Canis lupus familiaris: one gene and its partners. The protein of the gene in region 2 interacts with the protein of the main gene of each other region in a pairwise test. Links are inferred from orthologs where the notes say so. Each region holds a gene or a part of one and is shown on either strand. Other genes may lie near its edges. The genes, in order: ZNRF1, UBE2D3, ZNRF2, TRIM17, RFWD3, AMFR and TRIM27.

Region 1 (4,156 bases), on a different chromosome or scaffold from region 2:
CTCTCTGTGACTATCATAAATAAATAAAAATTAAAAAAAAAAAAAAGTTAATCACAGGGCAGCCCAGGTAGCTCAGCGGTTTAGCGCTGCCTTTGGGCCCAGGGTGTGATCCTGGAGACCTGGGATCAAGTCCAACGTCGGGCTCCCAGAATGGAGCCTGTTTCTCCCTCTGCCTGTGTCTCTGCCTCTCTCTCTCTCTCTCTCTCTCTCTCTCGTTCTGTGTCTGTCATGAATAAATAAATAAAATCTTAAACATAAATAAATAAATAAATAAATGTTAATCATAGTCATCTCACAAATACAGCTAGCTGTATTTTCTGGACCAAATTTTATGAGTAAGATTTTTAATTTCAAGATGTCTAAAAATGATCAAATGTCTAAAAGTGCCCAAAGCAGCCACACCTTGCATCTCATTTAGGGCAAAGACTGATGCAGATCAAGGAAGCTCCGATGATATCTAGAGATCTGTTTTGGAATTAAAAACACCACTTTAGGGACACCCAGGTGGCTCAGTGGTTGAGCATCTGCCTTTGGCTCGGAGCACGATCCCGGTATCCCGGGATCGAGTCCCGCTTTGGGCTTCCTGCAGGGAGCCCGCTTCTCCCTCTGCCTGCGTCTCTGCCTCTCTTTCTGTGTGTCTCTCGTAAATGAATAAATAAAATCTTAAAAATAATTAAAATAAAATAAAATACCACTTTAGCGATTCAAAATCCACTTTCAAGTGTTACCCCAAATTAGTCACTATTTCCCCCTCAAAAATTTATTTCACAAATTAAAGTTTATAGAATCGAAACAAAAACCAGACCATTTCCAGAAATTTAAAAAAAAAAGAAAAAAAAAAAGATTCAAAAAGTCTACCCTATTTCACAATAGCCAGAACAGTGATCCAACAAATACATCCTCCATAAGGCAACCTTTCTTCTTTCTACACAATATCTAGATCTTCTTAACTCTCCCAAAGAAGTCTGAATATGCTAACTTCTTCACTCCAACTTGCCAATTAACAAATAGTGGCCCCACACCCCTTTTGACCAATTTTCTAGAAGCCTAACCTGGCTTCTCAGGTTAGCTGAGCAGACAGACCTGTTTTCCTCCAAAAGCTCCTGCCAGTGCCTTTTCTGCCCTGCCAGTCGGGGCCTGGGAAATCCTCCTCCAGCTTTTTGCTGGCCTGTCATCAGAAGTTCACAAAATGAATGCATCCGGATTCTTTGAATCTTCTTCCCCCTGTTATGTACCAGGAGCCAGGCAATAAAGTCCCACCTCCCATTACAAAAAAGACACAGATTAGGAGGAAGACCCAGCACTTAGCATGGAGGGGAAGAAAAAAGATGGAGGGATGTGAGAGTCATGGAGCCAAACCTACTGCATGCAGCACCCGCCACCAGAGCCCTGGTCCTGCAAAGCCTCAGAGGGAGGCTCCCTGGCTAGGCCCTCCGTTCGGCAGGCCACACCTGTCTATGGCAGCAGCCTTCCGGCTGCTCCATTTTAAACAATTCAAACACATCTCCAGCAGGGTGGCAAAACTGGGCAACCCCTCCTCCCAGCAAAAGTGCGAGCCCTAATCCATCCAACACTTGGCCCCAATTTTCTTTCTTTTCACACTCTTTTGTTTGGGAGACAACTGCTTGGTCAAACTGGATCCCTCTCTCTGTTAACGGTTAGGCAGGCACAATGCTGCAGTGACAGAAAGGAAGCATCAAGGCCGACTTGCTCTAACCCAGAGGAGACCTCCTCTCTGAGGCCGGCGATGCCTGATAAATGGGACTTCAATGGGCAGGTTTCGCTCTGCTCATCCACAAGTGAACCGACGCCTGGAGTCCTAGAACGCCCGGCTCCGCAGCCTCGCAGGAAGCCTCTTCTCTACAGGGTAGACAGCCCATTCATCCCCCAGGAACCAAAGGAAAGGCAGACAGACCCAGGTCGCGCACTCCACATCCAAATGTTCGCAAGCGCGCGAAGGTTTGGGGCGCCCCGGCGCGCCCTCCCTTGCACTCCACCCTCCGAGGCCTCCACCGCCCGCGGACTCACCACTGTGCGAGCTGAACCACCTGGGTGCGATGTGCAGAGGTAGAGCATCCGCCAGCGAGGCTCGGGAGCCCAGGTACAGCATCCCGTCTCTATGGTGACCGCCGCCGGTCTCCTGGTAACCATTGCCATGGGCATAGGTGGAGTCGGACGCAGACCCTCCGCCGCCGGGCGCCCTCTCCGAGTCGCCGGTGCCCCGGGAGGCGGGGGTGTAGAGGCCAAAGGGCACCCCCCCGGCCGTGCTGGGGTCCATGCCCATGCCCGCCACCGAGCTGACCGAGCGGCTGCGCAGCCCCATGGCCCCGCCGCCCGCCCGGTAGTGCCCAAAGTGGGGCGCCCCTCCCGGCGGGGGCACGGCGCTGTCATCGGTGGAGACCCCCGGAAAGGGGCCCCGGGAGCGGGCCGCCGTGCTCTGCTTGCCCCCCATGCTCGCCCGGGCCCCGGTGGGGCGGGAACCTGGAGGCCGAGACCCTCCCCCACTTCTCAGCAGCGGGGGCAGGGCTGGGCGAGCATAAAGGGGGAGGGAGTCAAAAAGGAGACCGGGAGGGGGGGGAAAAAAAAAAACACGGGGGAAAAAAGAAAAAAAGAAAAAAGAAAAGAAACCCCCGCGGGGCGGAAGAGGCAGGCGGGCGGGGATCCCAAACTAAGAATTCAAAACGATCCAAGCCAAACGCATGTTTCCCCTCAAGGTCCAAAGAGGCGCAGTCCGGAGCGGGCTCGGCGCGCCACAGGCCGCCCCCGGGCTCCCGAAAGCCCGGGGAGCCGCAGGGAAGGAGGAGGGAGGCGGCGGGCGGGCGCAGGGAGGCGCCGGAGGAGGCCGCCCGCCGGACAGGGGGAGGCGGAGGAGGGCTGGGGGCGCCGCGCGCCGCCCCCGCCTCAGGACGCCGCGACCATGGACGCCGGCCCGGACCCCTCCAGGCCGCGGGCGGGCTGCGGCGCTGGGCGGCCAGGCGGAGCTCGGGAAGCCGCGGGCGCGTCGCGTCGCGCTCTCGCTCCAGCCGCCGCCGGCCCCGCCAGCCGCTCCGCCCCGCTCGGTCCCGGGCTGCGCTCGCCGGCGCTCCTCGCCGCCGTGGAGACAATGGAGGGCGGCAGAGCGCAGGCGCGGCCCGCGCCCCCTCCCCTCCCCCCCGCCGGGTTAACCCCTTCGCGGCCCCTGCGGCGCCGGGCCCTGCCGCCGGGAGGTCCCCGCGCCCGCCCGCCCGCCCGCCCCCCCCGCGACCGGCCTGTGACCCGCGTGGCCCGAGCCGCCGGCCGTCGGGAGCAGGAGCCAGGCGGCTTTTCAAGGCCAGCACTCGTTACGGCCCCCCAGATGGCTGATTGTTGAGGGGGAACCACCTACGGGAGGAGGGGCGGACACGGTTCAAAGCGCTGGGAAGGAACCGCAGGGAAGAATGAAAATTGCTCGGGACGCCTACCTGGCTCTGAGGGTCACCGGTCAAGCCTCCCTCCCCGCACGAATTTGCCCCCACAGCACCCTCTGGTGGACGTGCTGTCCGTTCTCGCGGAGCTTTCCCAACCAGGAACCCCTAAGCTCAGGAAGCCTGGCGTTTGGGGGATTCTTAGCTGGTTTGGGGGGTACGCAGCGCCCTGGGGCACTTGTGACCCCGGATGTTGCTGAGTAGATCTACCCTTCCTTCCTAAGGGTAGAGTCCTTAGCTAAAATGGGATCCTGAAAAATCATGAGGCGTGTGATAGAAAGTGCGGAGATGTAGACACAACTACAACTGGCGATCTTAGAAACTCCCTAGTCCAGGGCGAATCCCCGTTTTCGTTTACCTCTTATTCCAACATGCACCATAGTGGGACACAGTAGGTACTCAACAAGTATTTGTCGGACAAGTCTGCACTTTGCAATATGCCTTTCTCCCAAATTCGTGTCCGTCCATCCACTCATTCATTCAACTATTTTTTCAAGTGCTGGGTGGTGGCTGGCTATGAGCATCACCCAGTCCCTGGTCTGACTTCCTTGCTCTGAACGTCCTTTCCACATCGAGGAGTCAAAACAAGGTATAGAGAGAGAGAGTAAAAGAAGCCCCCCCCCCCCAAGAAAAAAGAAGAGCTGATCTGTCACAGAGTCCTGGTTCTCACAAAGCTTCAGAAGAGCCACTTCATGCCGACTATGATGGCTACA
Region 2 (4,056 bases):
TTATTCCATGACATTTTTTTCAAGTTAGCTGTAAATACTCCACCCTCCTCGATTGTGCAAGAACCAAATACACCACACATACACAAGTTACAAAAAAGGGAAATGCAGTTTGAGAGTTTGAACATCGAGTCTTCAGCAGGACGTCTCAAGAGCTGTGTACAATCTGATGTAAAAGTTAACATTTAACAAAGAATATTATTTCATATAATGACGAAAGGAGATGCCGGAAAAAGCCTGAACCAGTTAAAGCAGCCGCCATCTTAAAATGCGGGATAGAAGTTAGAGCAAGAAAATGAGACTAAACCACCGGAGGTGAAGGTTCCGCTCACCCGGCGCCCCCCCCAGGCTCGAAAAAACGTATTTCTTTCAACTTCTATCTATCAATAGTTTCTATCAAACCACGTTTCAAGTAGCCAATCATCTCCGAAAGTGTTATAAAATCAGCCGAGACAAAGATAGGTACACCAAACCTTCCCTTACTGCCATCACACCCGTACCGCCCACCCCCCCACCCCCCAGTCAAAAGAAGGGAGCTTCCAGAAGCCTTTTACACCAGTTCGCAGCGTCCCTCTTATAAATTCGAGTGAGAAGTCTCAACTACAAAACATAGGAAGTGGTAACATCGTGTCAGCCCATCTCTTCCCAGCCCCACTTATTCTTGTGTAACCTGCTCAGAGTCGATGAAGTTTAACTAGGTTCAGTCACTACTCTTCAGCCGCCAAGAGACTTCTACACCGACCCCCAATTAGGTTCAGGACCCGCCAGATTTCTATCACCTCCCCTAGGAGTTTCCTACGACTCTTCCCCCTAGAAAACCCGAAAACCTTGATCTTACAGCCAAAGTTCTCAAGCACCGAGACTAGGGAGCGCCATGACATCTGCGGGAGCGTCTCTGGGCAATTCTGACCCTCAAACAAGACTAAAAAACTCTTTTTAGCAGCAAAACCCAAGCGCCTAAAATCACTCTCCCCCACCCCTCATTTGGGCCGACTCCAACTGAAACATACTCAAGATAAACAGCTCATTCGCCACAAGTGTTCTGTTCTCTAGCTTTAAGCCTCCTTTCTTTCCCATCCCCCCCCCCCCCACAGAAGTGACCCAAGGAAAGACGTTTTCCTAATTATACTTCCTCCCCACCCCCACGCTTTCCTCCGAGACCGAGCCTTCGTTTCCTCCCACGACCCCCTTCCCTTCAGCCCCGTGGGTTACCTTATTAATCCGTTTCAGCGCCATAGTCTGTGCTTTTCGTCTGGCTCCTCACTCTCTCGGTGTGTGCTCAAAGGTCCGGCCAAAACTCTTGATTACCCGGGCGGCAGGGAAGGATTGTCTCTCTTCGTCTCACACCGGCTCTGCCAGACACAGGCGCCTTTTGCAAAAACGGAGCAGATCAGCACTCGCACAGGCCCCGGAGAGACCCTGATGAATCCAGGTCCCTTAAAACGGTCGCGATCCGGGGTGGGTGGGGTGGCGTGGCAAAGCCACCAACAGCCTCTATGCCGTGCTTCGGCCCGGAGAGGCGGCGAGGGTGACGGGAAGAGCGGAGGGGGCGGCTACAAGTTTGACTTCCCGGCCTCTCGAAAGAGACCCGGGTGGGAGAGGAAGAGGCGTAGGAGAAAGGGGTGGGTGCGGGGCAGGGTCCGGAGCCCAGCAGAGGAGGAGCCGGGGCCTAGTCGGCGCTGCGCCGGCGTCACTAGGGCGAAGAAAGGCTAGGGGGGAGGGGGAAGACTGGAGGCTCCGGACTGACGCCGGGGTTCTTTCGGTTTCTGCTCAAAGGTGCGGCCCGGAAGGAGAAGGAAATAATAAAGAGACTTGCTGTAGGTTGCCGTCCCCGCAGCCAGAGCTATTCTGTCGGCCCTGACGCCACCGTACACTCCGCCTTCCAGCGCGCTCCCGCACGCGCCCGCCCCGCCACCGCCACCACGCGCCCGAGCTGCCCCTGAGGCTCCGGCTCGGGCGCGAGGACGCGCCCATTCCCCCACCCCCTTGGGCAGGCGAGGCCCCGGCTTCCCCAGCCTTCCCACCCTACCCCACCCAACAGGCTGGTCACTCCAGCCACCCGAGGCCCGGATCTCCCCTCTTACCCGGCCGGCCAGGGGGCCGGCCTCCCTTCCCTTCCCCTAGCCGTCCACACCCACGCGTACAGAGGGGCCGGGGCCTCCCTCAAGCTGCGGCCTCGGCCTCCTCCCCGCGCGGCAGCTGGTGCCTCCCCGGCCCTACGGGGCTCACGCGCACGACACAGCCACAAGATGTCCGCTCTGACGGAACTACTGCCAGCTGCCACGCTCCGCCCCTCCCCCCTCCTCCTGCCTCTTCACCGCCGCGTATCAGTCCGCCAACGCCGCCGTCGCGAGCACAGGACGAAGCGAAGGGGGACGGGGGGACGGTTTACTTCCTACGTCCGGGACCGAGTTGATCTGTGCTACCCCCTCTTCCTTCTTTTCGGAACAGCACCTTCTTACTAAACAGATCGGAGGTTGGACTGGGAGGGCGGGGGCCGGAGGCGGGTCATGGGCTGGGGGGGGGGGGAGGGTGGACGAGCGGCGGAAACCCTCAGACTCAGAGAAGCATCGAGAACCGGAAGGAGACCATGGGAGGAAGGTAATGGAAGCGGCAGCTGCGCGGTCGAGACCCACGCCCCTCCCAGCAGCGTCCCCCAGTTTCCTCACTTGGTATTGAGGCGGCGGATCTCGCGAGAACCTCGTGGCTGGCTAGCCGGAGCGATAGCCCTGCAATGACTTAAGGGCAGTTGCGTGAGCTCTTCCTGTTGGGGGCCCGCCCCCCGAATCTACAAGTTCTCGCGAGATGCAATAGGCACCGGCTGGAGTAGGGGCGGGCCGTCGTCGGGAAGCACCGCCCCTGGATGCTTCTGCTGGTGGGAGGGAGGGGAACTGGAATTCCCCGGACGGGTTGGAGCGCGCGCCGGCGCGTCCGTCCCTCACGCGCCCAATCAGGAATGTGCGGCGGGAGGTGCCACGGGCTAATCACCGGGTACCTTTAGTCCAGGTTGATCCGGGCCTTCCGAGATTTCGGTGGAGCAGGTGAGCAATATATCCGCACTCGCCTGCCCGTGCGGGCTCGTTAACCAGGGGGAGGAGGCACCCCTCAAAGTGCAACACTCGTTGTAAATAGAACCGAGCGGACCGCTGATGAGCGCTCTCACGTGCCGAGACACAGCGCGTTTCTGACCTAGAGGGTCCGTACTGAGGAAAGGGGGCCTCCTAGAGCCCCTCCCAGTCGCAGTCGTCTAGGCATCAGATTCAACTATGGATTAACGTGGAGGGTAGGGAAATAGGGGCAGGCTATTTGCCTGTCACCATCCGCCAGGATTGAGGTACGGGAAGAGACTTAACACCTCCTTCTTCCTCTTGCCGTGTTTCAACTTCTAGGTCCACAGAGTTGCAAAACTCAAAAGATCAGAGTTTTGGGTCAGAAAAACGTATTACTTAACTGAAACATCCGGGGGCGGGCAGAAAGGGAAGAGCAGAATTGGCCTGTTTAATCTGCCGGGTGTAAAATAATGGAGAAGGTGGTTTGGCTCTCTAGGGTATCCTTCAGGCAAAGGGGTGGTACGACAGTAATTTTTAAAAGGATTAAAGGTAAGCGCTGACCTGCTTAAAGTTTTCGAACATTTCCTGACTTAACGAAGTGGATATTTTAAAGAATCAAAGAGGAAAATTAACTTGTTTTTAAAATATAGTTTAAAAAAAAAAGAAAAGCAGCAATTTCTGGTTACAATAAAGTATTACCTAATAAAAGCTAAAGTAGGTCTGTGATGAATGGGCTAATGTATACCGCTTACGTGGTCAGGAGGAGTGTCACTCGAGCAATTGGTGAAACCCTGCTCAAGCTAGTATCTCTGTGAATCAGCTAAGGATTTTGTTCAGAATGTAGATTTTGATGTAGTAGGCCTTGGTGGAGCATGAGATTTCACAGTTTTAACAAACTCCCAGGTGGTACAGATGATTCTGGTCAGAGTACAGCCCCGTGAATAGCAGAGTACTAAAGTGCTCATCACATAGCCTGTTTCCCTTCTCCTAGAATAATCTTTGTTCTCTG
Region 3 (4,058 bases), on a different chromosome or scaffold from region 2:
ATGTTTTTGCTGTTCTTAGTTTTTTATCATCAACATCGCTGAGCTTCTGTTTTATTTAAAAGACACGCTCTGAGTAACACGGATGAGGGGGTTACCCCCTCCCCAAACACCCCTCCCCCCGCAAACCGAAGGCTCAGGACCCAGGAGACAGACCCTTCCCAACCCCCCAGCAGGGAAGACGACAAGTTGGGAGACGCGGTCTCATCCAGGGTCCCAGGGCCACGTGCGAGGGGAGGGGCCGCCTTCTGGTTGGCGCCCCGGGGGGCTCCGTCCGTCCAATCGGCTTCGGCCCCGCGGTGGCGGAGGGGGCGGGGCCAACGGCCCGTCCGTCACCGAGCCCACGGGCCGCAGCACCTACCACACCGCTGTACCTTGGCGGGGGCGGGGCGGGCAGGCCGCGGCCGCGGGGGGGGGGGCGGGGCCGGGGGGCGGGGCCGGGCCGGCGGAAGCCAATCCGCGGGGCGGCGCGAGGGGGCGGGGGTGGGGCCGCCCGCCCGCCCGCGACCCAAACACCGAGTCCGGGTGCACTTTGGAGCCGCGCTGCTCCTCGGCCTTCCGGTGCGAGCCGGGGCGCCTCCTCCCCTGCCGGGCGCCCACAGCCCCCACCCCCGGGGCCCTCAGCCCCCCGCCCCCCGCGCCCCTCCTTCGCCGCGGGGAGCGCGGCGACGGTTGCCGGGAAGCGCGCGCCGCCCCTCCCTCCCCTCCCCTCCTCCGTCCTCCCCTCACGCGCCGCCCGTTTTTTTTTTTTTCCTCTTTCCTCCGTTAATACCAGCTGGGTGGCTGGGGGAGGAGGGAAGGTGGCCCCGGCGGAGTCTGGGCGGGCGCCTCCCCCTCAGCCGCGAGCCGCCGCCGTGTGAGCCGGAGGATGGCGGCGGTGGCTGCGGCCGCCCGGGAGGAGGCGGTACCGAGGCCCGGAGCGCAGAGCGCGGCGACGGCGGCAGAGAGCGGCAGCGGCCCGTCGCGGCGCCTCAGAACCGAAACCGGCGGCCGCCGCAGCGCCACCTGAGCCGGCCGCGGCGCGACCTCCTTCCTGCCCTCGCCTCCCCCCGCGGCCTCCGGCGGGCCGCCCCCGCCCCCGCCCCCGCCCCCGCCCCCGCCCCGCGAGCCCCGGAGCGCGCCGGGCGCCGACCGCCCTTCGGGGCTCCGGGCGGCGGCCCTGGACGTGCGGGCTGGTGGCAGCGCCGGCCGCGGCGCCTCGGCCCTGCCCGCTCGCTCCCGCCCTCCCGGCCCGGGGCAGGGCGGACATGGGCGCCAAGCAGAGCGGCCCGGCCGCCGCTAACGGCCGCACCCGCGCCTACTCGGGCTCGGATCTACCTTCCAGCAGCGGCGGAGGGACCAACGGGACGGCGGGCGGCGGCGTTGGCGGCGTTGGCGTTGGCGGCGTTGGCGGCGGCGCGCGGGCCGCGGCGAGGTTTCCGGCTCAGGTGCCGGGCGCGCACCAGCCCAGCGGCTCGGGCGGCGCGGCGGCGGCCTCGGCGGCCCCGCGCAGCCGCTCCCTCGGCGGGGCCGTGGGGAGCGTGGCGGCGGCGGCCCGCGCGGCGCAGTCGTCCTTCAGCATCCCCAACAGCAGCAGCGGCCCGTACGGCTCGCAGGACTCGGTGCACAGCAGCCCCGAGGACGGCGGCGGCGGCGGCGGCGGCGGCGGCAGGGACCGGCCGGCGGGCGGGGGCCCCGGCGGGCCGCGCCTGGTGATCGGCTCCTTACCGGCTCACCTCTCGCCGCACATGTTCGGAGGTACGCCCGGCTCTCCGCGCCTCTCCCTGCACGTGGGCAGCACCTCAGCGCGCGGCCCGGCTCGCCCAGCGCTCTGGGAGGAGGAGGGCGGGGGGGGGGGGTGCGTGGAGGGAGTGCGTGGGGGGGGGGGCGGGGGTCGCCGCGTAGCCCCGGCCGCGCCGCCCCCTCCCTGGGCGTCGGTTGCGCGACCCGGGGGTGCCCAGACGGGAAGCCCTGCGTTCCCCGCCCCCCCCCCCCCCCCCCCCCGGGGTGAATGGAGCAAAGGTTGTTTCTCCAGCAAACCGCTGCGCCAGCCCTCGTGCTTTTGTAGCTCTGAGGATCAGGAAGTCGGGAGAAGACCGGCTGGTTGCCTAACGTAGTTCTTTCTAACTGGGGACACGAGCGGTGAGCTTTTTTTTTTTTAAAAAAAAAAAGAAAAAAAAAAAAAAAAAAAGGCCGAGAGTCCGAGCGGGTCGAAGGAACGTAGGAGTATCTGAGGAAGGAGGGAGTCCGAGTGTTCACGTACAGCCGTAGCCCCGCAGCCTCTGTAAACAGCCCCACCTACCGCGGACGGCTGCATCGGCCGCGCGTGCGGTGGGAGACGTGTTGGACCCCGGCCGGCGGCTGCTCTGGGTAACGGCGAACGCGAGCTCCGATTCATTTGGACCGGGGCGTTTTAAAAATTGGAAGCAGTTTGTCAAAGAGAAGCCCGATGACCAGAACTCCGCCTAAAAGACGCGGTGAAAAGCATAGGCGCTTTTACTGGAAAGCAGTGCTGACTAGGAGTCGAGGAAAAGTCACTTTGTGGTAACTGGAAATTTTCAACGGCAAAACGATGAGCTTCTGTGTGGAAACAGGAAGGGTGCACTTGATCAGAGGAAACTGAATTCGGCCTCACGAGTCCTGCTCTATAGTGATTTACTCTGCCTTAAAAACGGTTAGCATCGTAAACGAATCAAGACACCCCCCCCCCCCCTTCCCAGTTGGTGAGAAGAAATTGAAGTTTGATCTGGTCGGGGGTGCTGACTACAGTAGTAGAGAAACATCCCCATATCATTGCATTATGTGCTGTGATCTTACATAAATTCACAAGTGAGCACAGCCCGAACAGTGAGAAAGGCATTCCCTCCATTTTTGTAGCCCCCTTTTCCCCCCACAGAGGTGAGAAATTTGAGTTGGTCAAGTGGAATGTTCAGTAATTTATCTGTTCTCATGTTCTGTACTTTCAATATTCATGTTAGCAAATTGAAAATGGGAATGTCAGGTTTCGTTTTTTTCATGTCATTTATGCTGCCTTGCACATTCAATCAAGAACAACTCTTGAATTACTTGTTATAATTTTGCTATGAAAATAGTAATATCGACACTCCTAAAATTGCGCCATTAAAAACCATCTTTAATTTTTGAGATAAAGAACTGGTGTTGTTCTTACTGTGATTGGAGCATAATTAATGCAGTTGAAGGTTAGTTTGATCTTAACACAGCTGTAGTCAGTCACTACACTGAGGAATAACAAAAGACAGTTTCTTGAGAATGGAAGATTAGTGCAAGAATAAAAGATAAGCTGGTTTTTAAAAATATCTTTTTAAAGTGAAAATTTGCTTTTAGCAGTTATGATCATCAAAAGGTATATTTAAAAGCTTGTTAAAGGAATAAGAAAGCTTGTCAAATTATTATCTTATTTCTTTAATATACTGATTACTGTATTTTTCCTAATTGGCTGATAATTACCCTTAACAAAGAGTTAGTATATCTGTAAGGATTTATTTTCTGAAAATAAATACCTTCCATTCAGAGTGGGGGGTGGGGTGGGCAAATAGTTGATATTCCTGCTATTCATAGTAAGTTAGCAAATGAAAAAGACCTAGTTCATAAAAGTAGAAGTAAAGTAAATTTATCCTTTTTTTAAAAATTTAAGTTCCTAGTTTTGTGCACTTAGTTCTTTTTGTACTTTCAGGGTTAGGATGATTGGAGCTAATAGTACAGTGACACTGTAGAACTTGTGGCAGCCTTTCCTAACCAGGTCTCTGTAGAGAATAGAGCCCTTAATGTCCTAAGACATCTATTGTATGCAGCTAATTAACTTTTTTTCTCCTTTGCATTTAGAATGATTCTAGGTATGTGTCATTCTTCTGAAATTTGAGAAAACAGTCAGATACTCTGTTTGGTAGTTGAGATGAGGAACTCCAGTTGAGAGAGCCTGGAAGGGGTTCAGAGAAATTACCTATTCCCATTGTATGATAAGAACAAATCAATGTGCAGGTACCTTAAATCCTAGTTGACACAGGGAGATGGAATACTCTTATGTAAAAACGCATCTTCCTACAGGCATATGCTTTCATGAG
Region 4 (4,298 bases), on a different chromosome or scaffold from region 2:
TGTCATAGGTGGACTGTCCCTCCAGAGTCATCGCCGGAGTCCCCACCCCCAGGACCTCAGTAGGTGAGAGGTAGTTACAGTACAGTGAGGTCACTAAGGTGGGCCCAATCCCGTAGGATCCGTGTCCTTGAGGCAAGAGGAGTTTAGGATGCAGACACACAGAGAAATGGCCAGGTGAGGACATGGGGAGCAAATGGCCATGTACACGCCCAGGGAGGGAGGCCTCAGGAGGAACCAGCGCTGCCCACGCCCGGAGCACAGACTCTCAGCCTCTGGGACCCGGAGACAATAAAGTCTGTTGTTAGGGCCTCGTCTACAAGGAGGCGGTCTTCCCTACGCAGCCTCAGCTGACTGGAGTCCGAGCTTCCCTTGTTTGAATCAGTTCCTGCAGTTGGCCCACCCTGACCACACCTGCGCCTGAGCTCCTCCCCCACCAGCCAGGTGAGCAGGGGTGCTGAGGCCCCTCCCAGGTGAGCAGGGTGCTGAGCTCCTCCCCTCCCCCCCAGGTGAGCAGGGGTGTCGAGGCCTCCTCCCAGGTGAGCAGGGGCACCTGCTTCACCTGCAGCATCTGTAGCGGTGTGTGCTGGTTCTTGTCTTCCAACTGCAGCAGGAGCATCTCCAGGGCGTGGCCCTGCTTCTCAAGTGCTGCGGAGCTCTCCCGTAACTTGGCCACTACCTCGTCCTCCTCCTCCTTCAGGGCCTGGAGGAGGCGCTGCTCCTCCTCCACCAGGAGGAGGCCCATCTTCTCAAACTCCATCAGGATGCGCTGCCTCTGCTCCTTTACCTTCTCCTGCAGGGTCCCGTGGAGGGCAGTGGGCAGAGGTGTGCTCAGGCCCTGGCCTGGGGATCTGCTGCCCCAGTGTCCCCCATCTCTCTGGCCGGCTGCACCCACCAGCTTGAATGCTGGCAGTGCCCCCACTGCAGGGCCCTGGTGACCCACAGAAAAGGAGCCACCCAGGCAGGAGTGCAAGCATTTCTGTGGGGTGACCTGCTGAGCCCCAAACAGCAGTGTGCCGGCACCTGTGCACCCTCATCCACTGTGTCTGGACACAGCCAGCCTGGGCTGAGCACACATTCTGGATCCTGCTTCTGGTGGGAATCTGGGCTCTGTGTGTGTGCGTGTGTGTGTGTGCATGTGCGCACACGCTTATCCACACAGGACAGCAAGTCCCCGCCCCCTGAGGGCCTTCTGCAGGCTCTCCCACCCTGGCCACCGGCACCTGCCTGCCACTCCGCCAAGGTCTGTTTCTCCCTGGCCTGCATCTCTCTTGTCTTCATCATCTCCTCCCGAAGGGACCCAATGTCCGCCTCCAACTTCAGCTGTGGGGCACACAGACCACAGGATGTGGGGTCTGAGGCCCCCCCCTAGCCTGGCCAACAGATGCACCTGCTAACACCCTTCTGCGTAACTGTCCCTGTATCTACTCTGTGCTGTGGTTTGCATGTATCCTCCCAAGGTTGTGGCTGAGTCCTAACCCCAGCACCTCGGAGGGAGGAGCTAGGGCCTCTTGGGGGGCCATGAAATCATGAGGGTGGGCCCCCGGGACAGGGCCCCTCGCCCCTCCCTTCGAGTGAAGACAGGGAAAAGGATGAGCTCTCCCCCAGTGGCGCCGGAGCCCTGGCTGGCTGGGACCCCTCAACAACTGTGGCCCAACCACTGCATCACCATGGAGGGTGCAGACACGAGGGCCGTGGGTGCCGGCAGTCGCCCCCCCGACCTGTCTGCTGAGGCTTGTGCCTGGCCTCCTTGTGCCCCCCCCACCTCCGGCCGTCCATCCCCGGCCCCGGCCGCACCTTGTACTCCTGCACAGCCTCCTCGATGGGGACCACCGTGTGGGGCCGGTGCTCCCGCGACTCCCTGCACATGACACAGATGGGGCTCTGGTCGTCCTCACAGAAGAGCTTGAGGAGCTCCTGGTGCGCCTTGCACAGGTCCCTGCTCTGGAAGGCCGGGTGCTGGCGTGCCATCTCCGCCACCTTGGTCAGCAGGCGGTTGGGCCGCAAGTTCCTCTGGGGGGACAGCTCGCGACACTCGGGGCAGGGGAAGGAGCCCCTCCGCTTCCTGCCCCCCTTCCTACTTTTGGCCTTCTCCCACATTAGGCGGATGCACTCCCGGCAGAAGTTGTGGCCACAGGCGGTCATCACGGGGTCCGTGAAGTAGTCAAGGCAGATGGAGCAGGTGGCTTCCTCCTGCAGCTTTCTGGCGAGTTCCAAGGCATCCATGTCTCCTGGGGCAGGAACAGAAAGAACGCCCCTCACACCCTCTGCCCGGGAGCCCTGGGCTCTCCACGGCCAAGCCCTGTCTTTGGCCAGCCCCGCTACTTTAGGGGGGATCATCGTGCCAAGTTGGCTGAGAGTGCCCCCCCATGACGTCAGATCTAGCTCCTCAGGTCCCCGCTGCCCTGTCTAGAAGCCTTTAGGCCAGTCTGGAAAGAATCCCCCTCCCTATGTCCCCTCTTAGTGATTTTCCATGGCTGACCACCCCCTCTGCTCTTTAGCCTTAAGTCCCCCACCCCATCCTGCGAGCCGGTTCTGCGGGATCCCTCTCCCTGAATGGCAATAACCCTGAATAAATCTGTGTCTCCTGTTCCAACTATGGAGCGGCTCTGGTCCTGGACAACGTGCCTGCACATGTGCACAGAGCATACAGACAAGCACAAGTGCAGCTGCAGGCCTACACGTTGAGGCACATGCACACATGCACAGACATAGTATACACACACATGCTCACACACAGCACACGTGCACACAGTACACACACATGTACACAGTATACACACATGAACACAGCACACGCACACACAGGATACACATGCAGTACACACAGATGCACATATAGTATACACACAGGCACGGACACAGTATATGCACATGCACAGACACAGTATATATACACACATGCGCACACAGTATACACACATGTGCACACATAGTATACACACGTGCACCTGATATACACATGTGCACATGATATACACATACAATATACACATATGCACACAGTACACACACATATACACAGTATACGCATGTGCACAAACACTATACATGTGCACACAATATATACACACATGTGCACACACATGCCCAGAGGCACACATGCGCACACACACAAACATATACACATGCACAGAGGCACCTACACGTGCACACACATAGTTCGGGTGGATTTACCCCTGACCTCATGTTGTGACCTTAGGCATCCCATTCCCTGACAAGGGTTCCATTTCTCTGGTGCTGTCTCTGCAGAGACTTTGTAGTCAGTCTCTCCCTTGGCTCTCAGCCACAGGAAGGGGGGGGGCTGCCTACCTGCAGAAGCCGGGGAAGGGGGGCAGTCTGGTGAACTGGGGTCTGGCTCAGAATCCGGGGGCAGCAACTGGGGCCAGTGGAGATGACTGGCTGCCCTGCTTGCGGGAATGCTCCTTTGTAGACTGGGAGGGGGGCTACGTGTCTATAACCAGCTTCAACGCGGGATCTGCTCCCCGGGTAGCAGGGCAGGCGGTTGGACCTGAGCCTCCCCGCCCACTGGGTGGCCACCTGCTGCCCCGCGGGTCTATGGGGATGTACTCACAGGGAGGGGCCGCAGGCCGCACCTTGCCGGGTGCCCCCAGCCACGCGCGCCCCCGGCACCCCCAGAAAGCCTGCGTCTGTGTGCTGAACGCCATCTGGGTGACGGCTGCGGGGGCGCAGGGGCCGCGGAGGGTGCAGGGCTTTGTGGCGTCAGCAGGGGCGGGGGCGGTCAAAGGGCAGGGGCGGGGGAGGCTAGTTCCGGGTTGTGGGCTGAAGATGGGGTGGAGAGGGCTGGGGGGGCCAGCAGCCTGAGGGTGGGGGCGGAGGGGGGGCCAGCGCAGAGTGGGCCAGGGGTGGGAGGGACGGAGGGGGCTCTGGCCGTCCCCGCGGGGAGGGGGAGAAGGTATGGTAGAGAGTGGATGGGGAGGGGGTTGTGAGCCGTGGGGCAGGAGGTAGATTTCTTGTGGGGAAGAGAGGGGAGCAGAAGAGAGAGCAGGTGTGGGAGCCCGGTTGGGGGAGGTGAAGGGGTGTCTGGGGGGGCAGTGAGGGGGGTCACTGGGGGAAGGCAGGAGGGGTTGCCCGGTTGCTGGAAGTGAAGGAGTCTCTGTGGGGGAGGTGAAGGGGGACCATGGGGTGGGGGGAGGTATGGGGGTGCCCCATTGTGGGAGGTGAGGGGCTTCTCAGCCCTGCCTGCAGGCGGCCCACGTCTATGGTGTGGCTTTAATGGTGGTTAGCATGGGGAGGAGGGTGGAGAGTGGAGCCGGGGGGTCCAGATCCCAGGTTCGGGA
Region 5 (3,536 bases), on a different chromosome or scaffold from region 2:
TTAGTCTGTGAGGGGTTTCTTGGTGCTATCTGAAGGGCAGGGCAAACTCTCTCTCTCTCCCTTGAACCAATGTGCTCCCAGACAAACCACAGAAAGTCCGACCAGGACATCCTAACACTCACCGGGCCTGTAGGTCACAAGACAGTGCCGTGTGCTGCTCTCTGTCTGAAAGTCTACATAGCCCCCTGGCTCCATGGGCAGCGTATGAGGCCAATGAGAAAAGCCCATTTTTAGCTCCCAGAAGGAAGCGTTCTCCAAAGTTCCAGCCAACACCCCACCATATGGAAATGCAGATGAGGCAGCTCTGGGTATGTAGGATAGGGACACCAGCGGGCATCTGGAGGGAAAGAAAGAAAACTATGTTTCACATTCCAGTACTTGTACAATTCCAGACTCCAGACCCGTGTCAGGAGCCCCCGAGCAGTCCTACCTCTACAGAAGAGGTTAAATAAAGACCTTCTGTGGGTCACTATCCTTTGACATTGGATCAAAACTACCAACCTACTCTAACAGTACAAGATCATAAATCCAAGAAGCTTGACTGGTGTGAAGCTTCTGGTAAAGGGGTTGGCCACAGACATAAGTAAAGTCAGAAAGGAAACGCAGGAAAAAAAAAAAAAAAAAAAAAGGAAATGCAGCTCACACATCTAATAAAGAGCTGTAGCTGACAGATCCTTCAATTAAAATATAGCCTGAGGCAATTGCATTTTTCTTTTTAAGTAATCTGCACACCCAACATGGAGCTCCAACTCAAGACCTCGAAGATCAAGTCATGTGCTCTTCCAACTGAGCCAGCCAGGTGTCCCTGAAGCAACCACATTTTAATTCAGAAACAAGATTGTTTCTTTAGACATATTCTAAATCTCTTTCTGCAAGCATATGACCAGAACTGTATGCCAAGAATTCTCTCAGAAGTTATTAGCCTGCCACTATATTCCTATGAACTTTGCTTCTGCTGAAGTTGCCAAAGGGGTCACTTGGTCTGCTTTCTTTCATTGCCCTATCACAATGAAGCAAACTAAAGCAGAAATGAACATTACATACAAATACCCTTTCCTTGCTATTTGCTCCATGTTCTTGCCTACTCCGTCTGGATCCCTCTACATCAATGGCAGTTAGCGTGTTTGTTAGGAGTTGACATCTGTAAAAGTTTACATCAGTTGTCTTCAGGCCCGCATAACTGAAGCATGAGTCTACCCCACCCAAATGAAAAGACTCCAAAGTGCTGAGCCTAGGTTTAGTAACCAATTACTGTATCGTTACTATAGTGGTATCTTTCTGTTTAGATCCCCTGCCCCCCTTTCAAAATATATTCACATTGGAAATAGAAATTCTCTTTTAAGATACTTCTCATTTTGGCCTAAGTCAGACTCCACCACTTCTCCTTTTGAGAAATTTATGCCTTTAAGAGAATATTACACCCAAATGGTACTCAACACATTCTGAAGAGTCATAGTGGTGCAGGTGGCCACCCATCCTCAGAATTTGGGCTGACTCTAAAAATCTCCCAATTCTGTAACTGGATTATAAATGATAAATCATAGTAACATGGTATCTTTAGACCAAGTTTGTTTAGCTGGAGGTTAGGGAAGTTTTAAATCATTTTTTTTTATAGGCCTTTTACTGATCTCTTCCTCTGCAATAGCTCTAACAAGCCAAGAAACGTGACAAAGGTCACACAGCTCCTATGCAGTAGAACTGGGTTTTGAACACAGATCTGACTTCATTTTGCCATGTTGGGTGATGAGTGACTGTATGAACCTGGCTGTACTTGGTACTAGGACTTTCTACCATGTAGAAATATCATGAACACATACAAAGGATCTTAGGGAGTCCAAAATGAGAAGACATCACTGGACTCAGAGAACTGCCCTCTGTGAGAAATTCTGACCAAATGTAAACATTCTCAAAAGAGAGGATTCATATCCAACAGAAAGCTGCTACCTACAGGGAAAAGTAAGTGGCTCCCTACCTGGCTTTCTGGGGTGCTAACTCCTGGATATGAGAGCTCGTGTTTCGAAGGTCATACAGCAGAATCGAACCATTGACCAGACCGGCATAGATATGATTACTTTCATCAAGACACCAGCAGCAGCTCCAGACAGGACGTCCTGCATTATATGTCTGGACCACTGTATTTGTCTCTAGGCTGTGGAGATATAGGAGTTTTACAATTACGCATTAAGAAAATCAAATATATAAAAAGATATAAAAATTATCATTTCACTGATAATCTTTTTAAAAAAACAGATGATATTTATTTGAGAGAGTGAGAGAGCGAGCACAAAGGGGGGGGGGGAGTGGAGGTCAGAGGGAGAGGGAGAGGCAGACTTCCTGCTGAGCAGCAAGCTGAATGTGAGGCTCAATCCCAGAACCCTGGGATCATGACCTGAGCAAAAGGTAGACACTCAACTGACTGAGCCACCCTGATGCCCCCAATGATAATCTTAAGAACATACCCACACATCCAAACTATTTTGGGATTTCTAAGTTTCTCTAGGGATTGCCTAGTAACCCCTTTTAATTACAAATTATTTGTTTTGGGGGATGTAAGTTTTCCTCTTGAAATGTAAGGAAAATAAAATAAGTTAAAAAGGTATTTAAACAGCACATTCCCCACTCTACCTCAATTCTCCATAATTATCTATAATACAGGTATTCAATGGTAAAATATTCAACGCTAAAAAATTAGAATTTACCTACAAGAAAAACAAAACTAACTACCCATAACTACCCAGAGGTAGTCATTAATGTCACTTTGGTGTTTAACCTGCACTTTTTTCACCTATTTTTTAACACCACTAGGAAAAAACACAACACATACATAAATATAAAACAATGTTATATTGAGTTTTGGGGCTAAGCTGAAGCATTTTTTAAAAAAAGATTTTATTTATTTATTCATGAGACACCCACACACAGAGAGGCAGAGACATAGGCAGAGAGAGAGAAACAGGCTCCATGCAGGGAGCCCGATGTGGAACTCGATCCTGGGACTCCAGGATCACGCCCTGGGCTGAAGGCAGGAGCTCAACCGCCGAGACACCAAGGTGTCCCAAGCTGAAGCATTCTTAAAAAGTCAGAAGGCTTATCAGGCCTGATAGTGATATCATGATGTGCCTCAGATTTAACTGCAGAACAGGAAGCCAACCATCAGATGTCTGATCAGAACTACTTTCTAAAAGATGAAGGCACTCAGCACATTCAGATCTGGGTCATAGCAGTTGCAGGGCACATGAAGGATAAAATACAGTAACTGAGGGTTACTGATGAGAGAGAAATCACGACACCTCAAGACAGTAAGCTCCTGGAGAGTATTTTTGTTTAGCAGGAGGATCCCAGTAACAGACCAGGAATAAGCAGTTCCAAGCTGGTAGGTAACCTCGTGGTGCCCAGTACCAAGGCTCCCTCCATATTGTCATTCAACCATCTCTAGGGTGTTTCTCTCATCTGCCTGGCTTAAGATGTATGTTGTGATACAGATCATTTTTAAAGAAACAGGGCATTGCATATACTGTTTTGTAGCCTATTGTATC
Region 6 (3,536 bases), on a different chromosome or scaffold from region 2:
GTCCTAGGAGGAGAGCAAACTTAGCCTTGAGCTAGGCTCCAGCCCAAGTGCACCACTGCTTTATATCCAGTGGCAGAAAGACAGAGGGGCATGGCTGCGTTTGTTTCAACAGTCTTTATGTAGTTTCCACAAATGTTTCATTTACATGTACTAACCAGAGTTCCTGATTCTAAAACACTTAGCTCAGTTAGAGCTCCTTCTGAGGAAGCTTACCAACATATGAATATGGTGCATGAGGTCCAGGGACAAGAGAGTGAGCTCCATGACAAAATCTGTGTAATAGACATAGGTTCCTTTTCCTTCCCAAGTCCCTTCATGGTTGAGGTCCCAGAGGTGAATTACATATCTGCAGTGAACAGAGAAAAATCATTTTAGTAACTTACTGTTACAATTTAATTTGGCTTAAACATGATGCAGTATAGCCACATTTTTATAGATTTTATACATGTTACATCTTAAAATCAACTGTATGGGTAGACCTCAATCGCCTCCCTCCCAAAGTTCTACTCACCGTAAAATCACGTGAGCAGTCCTCACTGTCACAAGAAGAGACTATATAAAGAAAGATGTATTTTTTCTTTAGTAAAATTTGGAAATATAAAAAGCAAACATTTGTCAGTTCAATTACAGCACTGGTTATTCCCGGGGGGGGGGGGGGGGATGGATGGGACGAATGTGGTCAGAAGGTAAAAACTTCAGTTGCAAGATAATTAAGGAGTAGGGATGTCATCTCCAACATAATGAGTGCGGTTAACACTGCTGTGGTACTTCTGAAAGTTGTAGAGAGGGTAATCCTTCTCATCACAAAGAAAAAACCCTTCTCTTTCTTTTTCTGTATCTATAATGAAATGATGGCTGTTAAGGAAACTTACGGTGATAATCACTTCACAATCTATGTCAGTTAACCATTAGGCTGTACACCTTAAAAGTCAATGGTGTAAGTCAATTATATCTGAACAAAACTGAAATAAAAAAAGCAGGTTGTTCAAGTTTACCAACTATTTTTTTTATCCACTTCAAATTTCCATGAAATATTTTCATGACCTAGAAACCAACTTTCATTGAGCCTTTTCCTGTCAATAGGTGACAATCGATTATACCCGTCCATCTCCTGGGGCTGCCTCCTACAATCCTGAGGCTCATTCTAGTAGTATGACAATCACTTCTATTTTATACAGCAGGAAGTCATCATCACTGATTACCTCAAAGGGTGTTTGAATACTTGGTGATCCTATACCCAAAGTATAGTTTAGGTACCACAATCCAAGATGAGTACCTGCTCTCTACATAACGTTTTGTACACCCCCTTTGCCCACACAAAAGCAAAAAGAATGAAGGAAATAAAAAATAAAATAAGCTCTTCATAGTATTTGATATTACAGAAATTGATTGTAAGAAAATTTCCTCTTAAACTACCAGAATAGAACTATTATATTGTTTGAGATTTGGAAATTCCAGTTTATAAATGGAAAACATTTTACATAGAGAAACAGTATAAATTTTAAAATATGATTAAGTTCAAAATATAGAAACTATAACATGATAAATTATCTTAAGTCAATAGTAATGAGCTAAAATTATATACTATAGTATGATCCAAAAAAGCCTAATTTAAATGTCTTTATTTTTAGGTATACCTTTCCCAAAGTTTGGGTTAAAATTAATTAAAAGTAAAATAGTACGAATATCAGACTATCACGCAAATGGTGATTATAAAATATATGTAAAGCAAAGTAACATAAATCAATGCAAAAACATTTTTACACAGATTTTTTTTTCAAGAGGAACATACACAAAGTATTTATCTAGAATTGTAAATGATTTACTAAGTACCTAAACATCCCTTTCCTAATTTGTTACACTACATTGTATTCTGAAATCAATTCTATTAAGCAAAATAAAACTTTAAAAAAAATTTTTTTAAATAAATTCTTACCCATGTGGTTCTCAAACTCACAACACCCAGATCAAAAGTCACTCCACCAAATGACCCAGCCAGGTACCCCAATAAATTTTAATCCTATTCTAACAAATACCCAAAAAGTAGTTCAAACTTAGTGTTTTGATATTAGCTAATTAGCTTTAATAATTTATTATTTCATCTTTTTCTTTAATAGTAGCAATTACTATTAATTTTTAATTAATAGGAGTAATTAATAGTAGGCAAAGAGATATTTTGCCTTTGGCCTGAGGGAGAAAGCAAACATAGCAACTGAATAGAAGGACATATAAAAAATTTTATTTCTACTGAACAAAAATGATTATTTTCAGAAAGTTTTAAAGAGTAAATTTAAAATGTACATGAATATGATTGTTCTTCCAAAACAAAGAAGTTTATATATATTATTCTATAAAATCTTAATTTATATCCCATTTAAAATCCCAATTAATTTACGGAACATAACGTACGTTATTATTTTCATCTCAAATTCTCACACATATCTACATATTAAGTGTGTGTGTATTTTTTTCCTAGAAGGCTCCAACCCAACATGGGGCTTGAACTCATCACCCTGAGATTGCGAGTCCCATATTCCACCGACCAAGCCAGCCAGGTACTCCTTAAATAACCCAATTATAAAATATTTCCTTATTCATCACCACCAATCAGTCTTCATTATATCTTAGGAGGAATTGGGAGTCACAGGGCTTGAATTGTGCCACTGCTGACTCTGAAACTTCAAATCATTCACTGCACCCTCTACACTAGTTTTCCCCATTTATAAAGAGAAATAATAAAATGAGTCAACACACATAAGGTATTTAGAGCAATCCCCAGCATACAGTAAAGCACTATATAAATGTCAGCAAAACTTAATACTTTTTATTAAGTTGTAGCAAAGATTACAGGAAATCATACATTTCTCCCTTCAATATCAGTACCCAACACAAAAGCAAGGAATTCAAGATATGCTCATTAAGACAAAAGACCCTCAGTCACCGTGCAGGGGGCTTGAAAACACACAGGAGTAGATGGGGACAACACCTGCATCCACTTACCTCCGCCGCCATGAAAGCCAGCGTGTGCATCCCGTGCGTGTAGCCAGTGACACAGCAGACCACTGCTAATCCACAGCAAGAAAGCAGCATCGCGATCAACAGAGACAGAACCCGCCCGTGGCTACTCATGGGTGTGGTGGGAGAAAACGACAGCTGAAATGCACAATAGAGAGGAAAGAAGCTCATCCTTCTTCACTGTGGTATTAAGCTTCCCTGAGAAATGCAATGTTAGTGTTTGGGAGTCTCTGCTCAGGAACTCGGGCTTAGCAGCACCACCAAACACCAAGCACAGAAAAGCACCCCATTACTGGATGGTCAAAATTCTCCACCCAACTTAAACGTGAGCATGAGCGAATATTGAGAGATTTCTACTGCTTAATTTACGGAACATAACATATGTTATTATTTTCATCTCAAATTCTCAAGGATCTTCCTACTAGTGGAATGATAAGTCTCTCTCCAAGCAGTTTTCCAAAGGTATGTAATTCTCTCAACATTGGCTAGCACTCCAGACTGCATCATGTCCTTATGTGTTT
Region 7 (3,536 bases), on a different chromosome or scaffold from region 2:
TCTCCCACGTCAAGACAATAAAAGCTACCATGTTTTTGCTACCAAACCTCAACCTGCCTGCATCCCCACCTCCCCCCCACCCTCCTCTCTTCCCAAAGATCTTCCAAAACTACATCCTATACATGTGCTTAGTCCCCTTTCCCTTCCATCTTTTCTGACACAGACATTAGTGATAAGTTCATTAATTTTACAGCTTCAATGACTTTCCTCACCCAGATCCTTACAACAGACTCTCCTCCCACATGATCTCTGACAATATGTTTAGTTTGTTTCTTTAAGCATCCCTTCCCACAAAGTCCCACAATCCCCACCTCTCCTTATGGTCTTACCCCTTAACCCAGACACCCATTCCTACAGTGGTCACACACCCTGCCAGTCACCACTGTCCCTAGGATGGTTCCTTAGGGAAGTGTTAAGTGTTTACTGTGGCACTTCTCTCTGAGGGCATTAGCAATGCCCGTGGCTTTAAACCAAATGCGTGTCAGCCCTTAACTGCATGAGACTCTGCTGTCCACTCCTCCTTCCTGGTCACTTTCTGCTTCTCTGATCAAGTGTTCACTTTGCAAACTCCTCCTTTCCTCCCTGGCAATTAAATACTGGTGGTCATTAAGGCTCAAGGCTAGGCCTTCTTATTAGTCTAAAGCAGGACTCAACAAACTTTTTCTGAAAAGCCAAATAGTACATATTTTGGGTTTTTAACTCTGCTCTGCTGTGGCAGTGGGAAAGTAACAATGCACACAGTATGTACAGGAATCCAAGTGGCTAAGTGCCAATAAAATGCAGACAACAAAGTTTGAGTTTTATAGAATTTCATATACCATGAAATAAAATCTTCAGATTTTCTCCAAACGTTTAAAACTGTAAAAACCAGGGGGCCTTGGGTGGCTAAGTTGGTGAAGTGTCTGACTCTTGATTTTGGCTCAGGTCATGATCTCCGGGTCATGAGACTAAGTCCCACAATAGTTTCTGCACTGAGTATAAAGCCTACTTAAGGTTCTCTCTTCCCAGGACACCTGGGTGGCTCAGCAGTTGAGCCTCAGCCTTCGGCTCAAGGTGTGATCCCAGTCTGGCAATCGAGTCCCGCATCGGGCTCCCTGCGATGCACCTGCTTCTCCCTCTCTCTCTCACTCTCGTGAGTGAATGAATGAATAAATAACATCTTTAAAAAAAATTCTCTCTTCCCCTCTTCCTCCACTCTTCCTATTAAAAAACAAACAAAAAAAAACCCCTCCCAAACTGTAAAAACCACTTAGCCTGAAGGACATACAAAAACAGGTGGTGGAGTGGTTTGCTGACCTGTGCCCTATGCCATCATCCCTTTTAATGGCATTTATGAACACCCATTACACCCACTGTTCTCTTTATTTTTTTTTTTTTTATTTTTTTTTTTTATTTATTTATGATAGTCACAGAGAGAGAGAGAGAGGCAGAGACACAGGCAGAGGGAGAAGCAGGCTCCATGCACCGGGAGCCCGACGTGGGATTCGATCCCGGGTCTCCAGGATCGCGCCCTAGGCCGAAGGCAGGCGCCAAACCGCTGCGCCACCTAGGGATCCCTGCTGTTCTCTTTAGTACCTGACTCTGACATTAGAATATACATTTCAGGACAGCTTTTCACCACTTAATCCCAGTGCCCAGAATACTGCCGGACCCAGAAAAGACAATTCATATGCACTCAATGAACAACAGCACATTTCCTGTGGCCTTGCCAGGTTAGGTCAATGCAGCTTTGTAACTACACCCAGCTTAAATCACAGGGACCGCTTGGGCCAACCACCTGCTCCAGTGCTCAGTTTTGTGGCTGTGCTAATGTACACATATATGTTAAAATTACAGGACATTTCACTGAGTATCTTTACTCAAATCTTTAAATGGCATGTAGGCTGAACCTCCCATTACACCAGGAGTAGATCAGGTCACTGAGGCCCAGAGAGGTCAAGAGTGTGATCAGACCACGTGTGGGTACAGGACAGGCCTAGGCATTAGGTCTTCCTCTTGCCCTTCCCGTGAGACAATGCAACTGACCGATCCAAGTTGTGTCAACTGGAACTTCTGTTATGCATGTTTTCTCTCTGACAAGCCCAGAGAGCTGAGCTAGGGCTTGTTACTCCTAGAGTTGACCGGGGCGGGGAGGGGGAGGTGCTCCATACTGCCTAGCAAAGAGGGAAGGGAGACTTTTTGGCAGGAGCCACGTTGGTGGGACACTCCACACCTCCATGCCTTACCTGCAGGAGCTCCCTGGTGGGCTGCTGCTGCTTCTCTTCTAGCTGGGCAATCAGGCTACTCAAGTGGGAGATGTTGCAGGAGAACTGGGTGATGGCACCGTTGATGCTGTTGTAGATGGCCAAGTCTAGCTCCTCAAGGCGGGCCAGGAGGCGATACTCATGTTCCTTCAAGGAGTGATAGAGCTGCTCAAACTCCCAGACAATCTTCTCCCTCTCCATCTGGGTCAGGCTCTGCGTAGATGACAGGGGAGGGTACTGAAGGACAGAAGGCTCCCTTCTAGAGCCCTTCATGTCTGTCCCTGACTACCTACCCTGAGACCTCATCATCTTGTCCCGGCATGCTAAAACAAGCATCCTGTTCATTCACTCCTGGTCTCAGGCTTTACCGACTAGACACAATGGCTGAGAAGTGAGTTACCCCAGAAATAAGGAATATAGTCACAGGAGAGCCCGGTTCACATGACACATGCAACCACAGGTAGTGAGGACAGGATGGCCTGCAGTGGGAGAAGCTGGTACAGCCTTCACAGAGGCAATGTAACACACACAGTGTGGTTGGAGAAACAGGGGTTCACCATGTGGTCAAAGGGTAGACACGCTTTCCTGGCAGAAGAAACGACGGGAGAGATGGTGAACGATGGTGTCTGGCAAAGCACCTAAGTTTTGAGGGAGAAGCCAGAAGAGGTAAGAGAGAACACACCTTGCCTGGAAGGCCAGGGTGGGGCAAGACTTTCCTGCAACTAGGAGCCGTGAAAGGGAAGTGACTGGGTTCAGATATATGCCATGTGGGGTGGACTAGGACACTCAATCCTCGCATCATGACTGCAACCACGTCACCAAGGCCCTTCCCGTGCGGCCCTCACCCCCTTTCTGGCCACCAGGGCTGTTCATCACCTACCCTCATTGGCTATGGGTGTGGTGCCCTTCTGGAACAGATGTTTGCCAAAACTAGTCTACCCTTCCTTCTCTATCTACCTCCCACTGCCAAAACCCTGAGGCTCTCTGCTAAACAAAGTGTCAGCAAGCTCCCTTTGTTTACTCCTGGGGAATTAAGTTTTCCTGGGGCCCAGCCACACCCATCATTCACATATTATATTATGCTGCCTTCAGCTGTCACGACAGAGTTGAGTAGTTGTGACATAGACTAAGTGGCCCACGGAGTCAAAAATCCTGACTATGTGGCCCTTTACAGATGTTTGTTGACACCTGTCCTGAGCTCCACTCTTCCTGAGAACCTTTCCCATGACCCACTCTTCTCACCACCTTCCTAAGCACTCTCTGTGCAACACACTGAGGAGTGAACACAAACCT

What was found.
Region 1: the proteins of UBE2D3 (region 2) and ZNRF1 interact in binary tests that used the Homo sapiens proteins (3 or more experiments, as listed by UniProt). The link is inferred for Canis lupus familiaris from reciprocal best matches to the Homo sapiens genes UBE2D3 and ZNRF1.
Region 3: the proteins of UBE2D3 (region 2) and ZNRF2 interact in a two-hybrid assay, tested with the Homo sapiens proteins (2 studies listed by BioGRID). The link is inferred for Canis lupus familiaris from reciprocal best matches to the Homo sapiens genes UBE2D3 and ZNRF2.
Region 4: the proteins of UBE2D3 (region 2) and TRIM17 interact in a two-hybrid assay, tested with the Homo sapiens proteins (2 studies listed by BioGRID and IntAct). The link is inferred for Canis lupus familiaris from reciprocal best matches to the Homo sapiens genes UBE2D3 and TRIM17.
Region 5: the proteins of UBE2D3 (region 2) and RFWD3 interact in a two-hybrid assay, tested with the Homo sapiens proteins (2 studies listed by BioGRID and IntAct). The link is inferred for Canis lupus familiaris from reciprocal best matches to the Homo sapiens genes UBE2D3 and RFWD3.
Region 6: the proteins of UBE2D3 (region 2) and AMFR interact in a two-hybrid assay, tested with the Homo sapiens proteins (2 studies listed by BioGRID and IntAct). The link is inferred for Canis lupus familiaris from reciprocal best matches to the Homo sapiens genes UBE2D3 and AMFR.
Region 7: the proteins of UBE2D3 (region 2) and TRIM27 interact in a two-hybrid assay, tested with the Homo sapiens proteins (2 studies listed by BioGRID and IntAct). The link is inferred for Canis lupus familiaris from reciprocal best matches to the Homo sapiens genes UBE2D3 and TRIM27.

What each region holds. Positions count from the first base shown.
Region 1 is NC_049226.1:76,271,053-76,275,208, forward strand, and holds the start of ZNRF1 (E3 ubiquitin-protein ligase ZNRF1), read right to left. Parts: upstream 2,829-4,156; 5' UTR 2,453-2,828; coding exon 2,029-2,452; intron 1-2,028. UniProt on the Homo sapiens protein: E3 ubiquitin-protein ligase that plays a role in different processes including cell differentiation, receptor recycling or regulation of inflammation. Mediates the ubiquitination of AKT1 and GLUL, thereby playing a role in neuron cells differentiation.
Region 2 is NC_049253.1:15,659,564-15,663,619, reverse strand, and holds the start of UBE2D3 (ubiquitin-conjugating enzyme E2 D3), read right to left. Parts: upstream 2,830-4,056; 5' UTR 2,667-2,829; exon of another isoform or gene 2,628-2,666; intron 2,518-2,627; exon of another isoform or gene 2,308-2,517; intron 2,300-2,307; exon of another isoform or gene 2,082-2,299; intron 1,367-2,081; 5' UTR 1,234-1,366; coding exon 1,210-1,233; intron 480-1,209; exon of another isoform or gene 83-479; intron 1-82. UniProt on the Homo sapiens protein: Accepts ubiquitin from the E1 complex and catalyzes its covalent attachment to other proteins. In vitro catalyzes 'Lys-11'-, as well as 'Lys-48'-linked polyubiquitination.
Region 3 is NC_049235.1:43,124,138-43,128,195, forward strand, and holds the start of ZNRF2 (E3 ubiquitin-protein ligase ZNRF2), read left to right. Parts: upstream 1-1,229; 5' UTR 1,230-1,244; coding exon 1,245-1,734; intron 1,735-4,058. UniProt on the Homo sapiens protein: E3 ubiquitin-protein ligase that plays a role in the establishment and maintenance of neuronal transmission and plasticity. Ubiquitinates the Na(+)/K(+) ATPase alpha-1 subunit/ATP1A1 and thereby influences its endocytosis and/or degradation.
Region 4 is NC_049235.1:306,395-310,692, reverse strand, and holds the start of TRIM17 (E3 ubiquitin-protein ligase TRIM17), read right to left. Parts: upstream 2,813-4,298; 5' UTR 2,338-2,812; coding exon 1,795-2,337; exon of another isoform or gene 1,321-1,794; coding exon 1,225-1,320; exon of another isoform or gene 791-1,224; coding exon 560-790; intron 442-559; exon of another isoform or gene 1-441. UniProt on the Homo sapiens protein: E3 ubiquitin ligase that plays important roles in the regulation of neuronal apoptosis, selective autophagy or cell proliferation.
Region 5 is NC_049226.1:76,566,556-76,570,091, reverse strand, and holds part of RFWD3 (E3 ubiquitin-protein ligase RFWD3), read right to left. Parts: intron 2,150-3,536; coding exon 1,973-2,149; intron 338-1,972; coding exon 123-337; intron 1-122. UniProt on the Homo sapiens protein: E3 ubiquitin-protein ligase required for the repair of DNA interstrand cross-links (ICL) in response to DNA damage. Plays a key role in RPA-mediated DNA damage signaling and repair.
Region 6 is NC_049223.1:59,049,384-59,052,919, reverse strand, and holds part of AMFR (E3 ubiquitin-protein ligase AMFR), read right to left. Parts: intron 3,154-3,536; coding exon 3,001-3,153; intron 553-3,000; coding exon 512-552; intron 347-511; coding exon 214-346; intron 1-213. UniProt on the Homo sapiens protein: E3 ubiquitin-protein ligase that mediates the polyubiquitination of lysine and cysteine residues on target proteins, such as CD3D, CYP3A4, CFTR, INSIG1, SOAT2/ACAT2 and APOB for proteasomal degradation.
Region 7 is NC_049256.1:27,401,744-27,405,279, forward strand, and holds part of TRIM27 (zinc finger protein RFP), read right to left. Parts: intron 2,457-3,536; coding exon 2,226-2,456; intron 1-2,225. UniProt on the Homo sapiens protein: E3 ubiquitin-protein ligase that mediates ubiquitination of various substrates and thereby plays a role in diffent processes including proliferation, innate immunity, apoptosis, immune response or autophagy.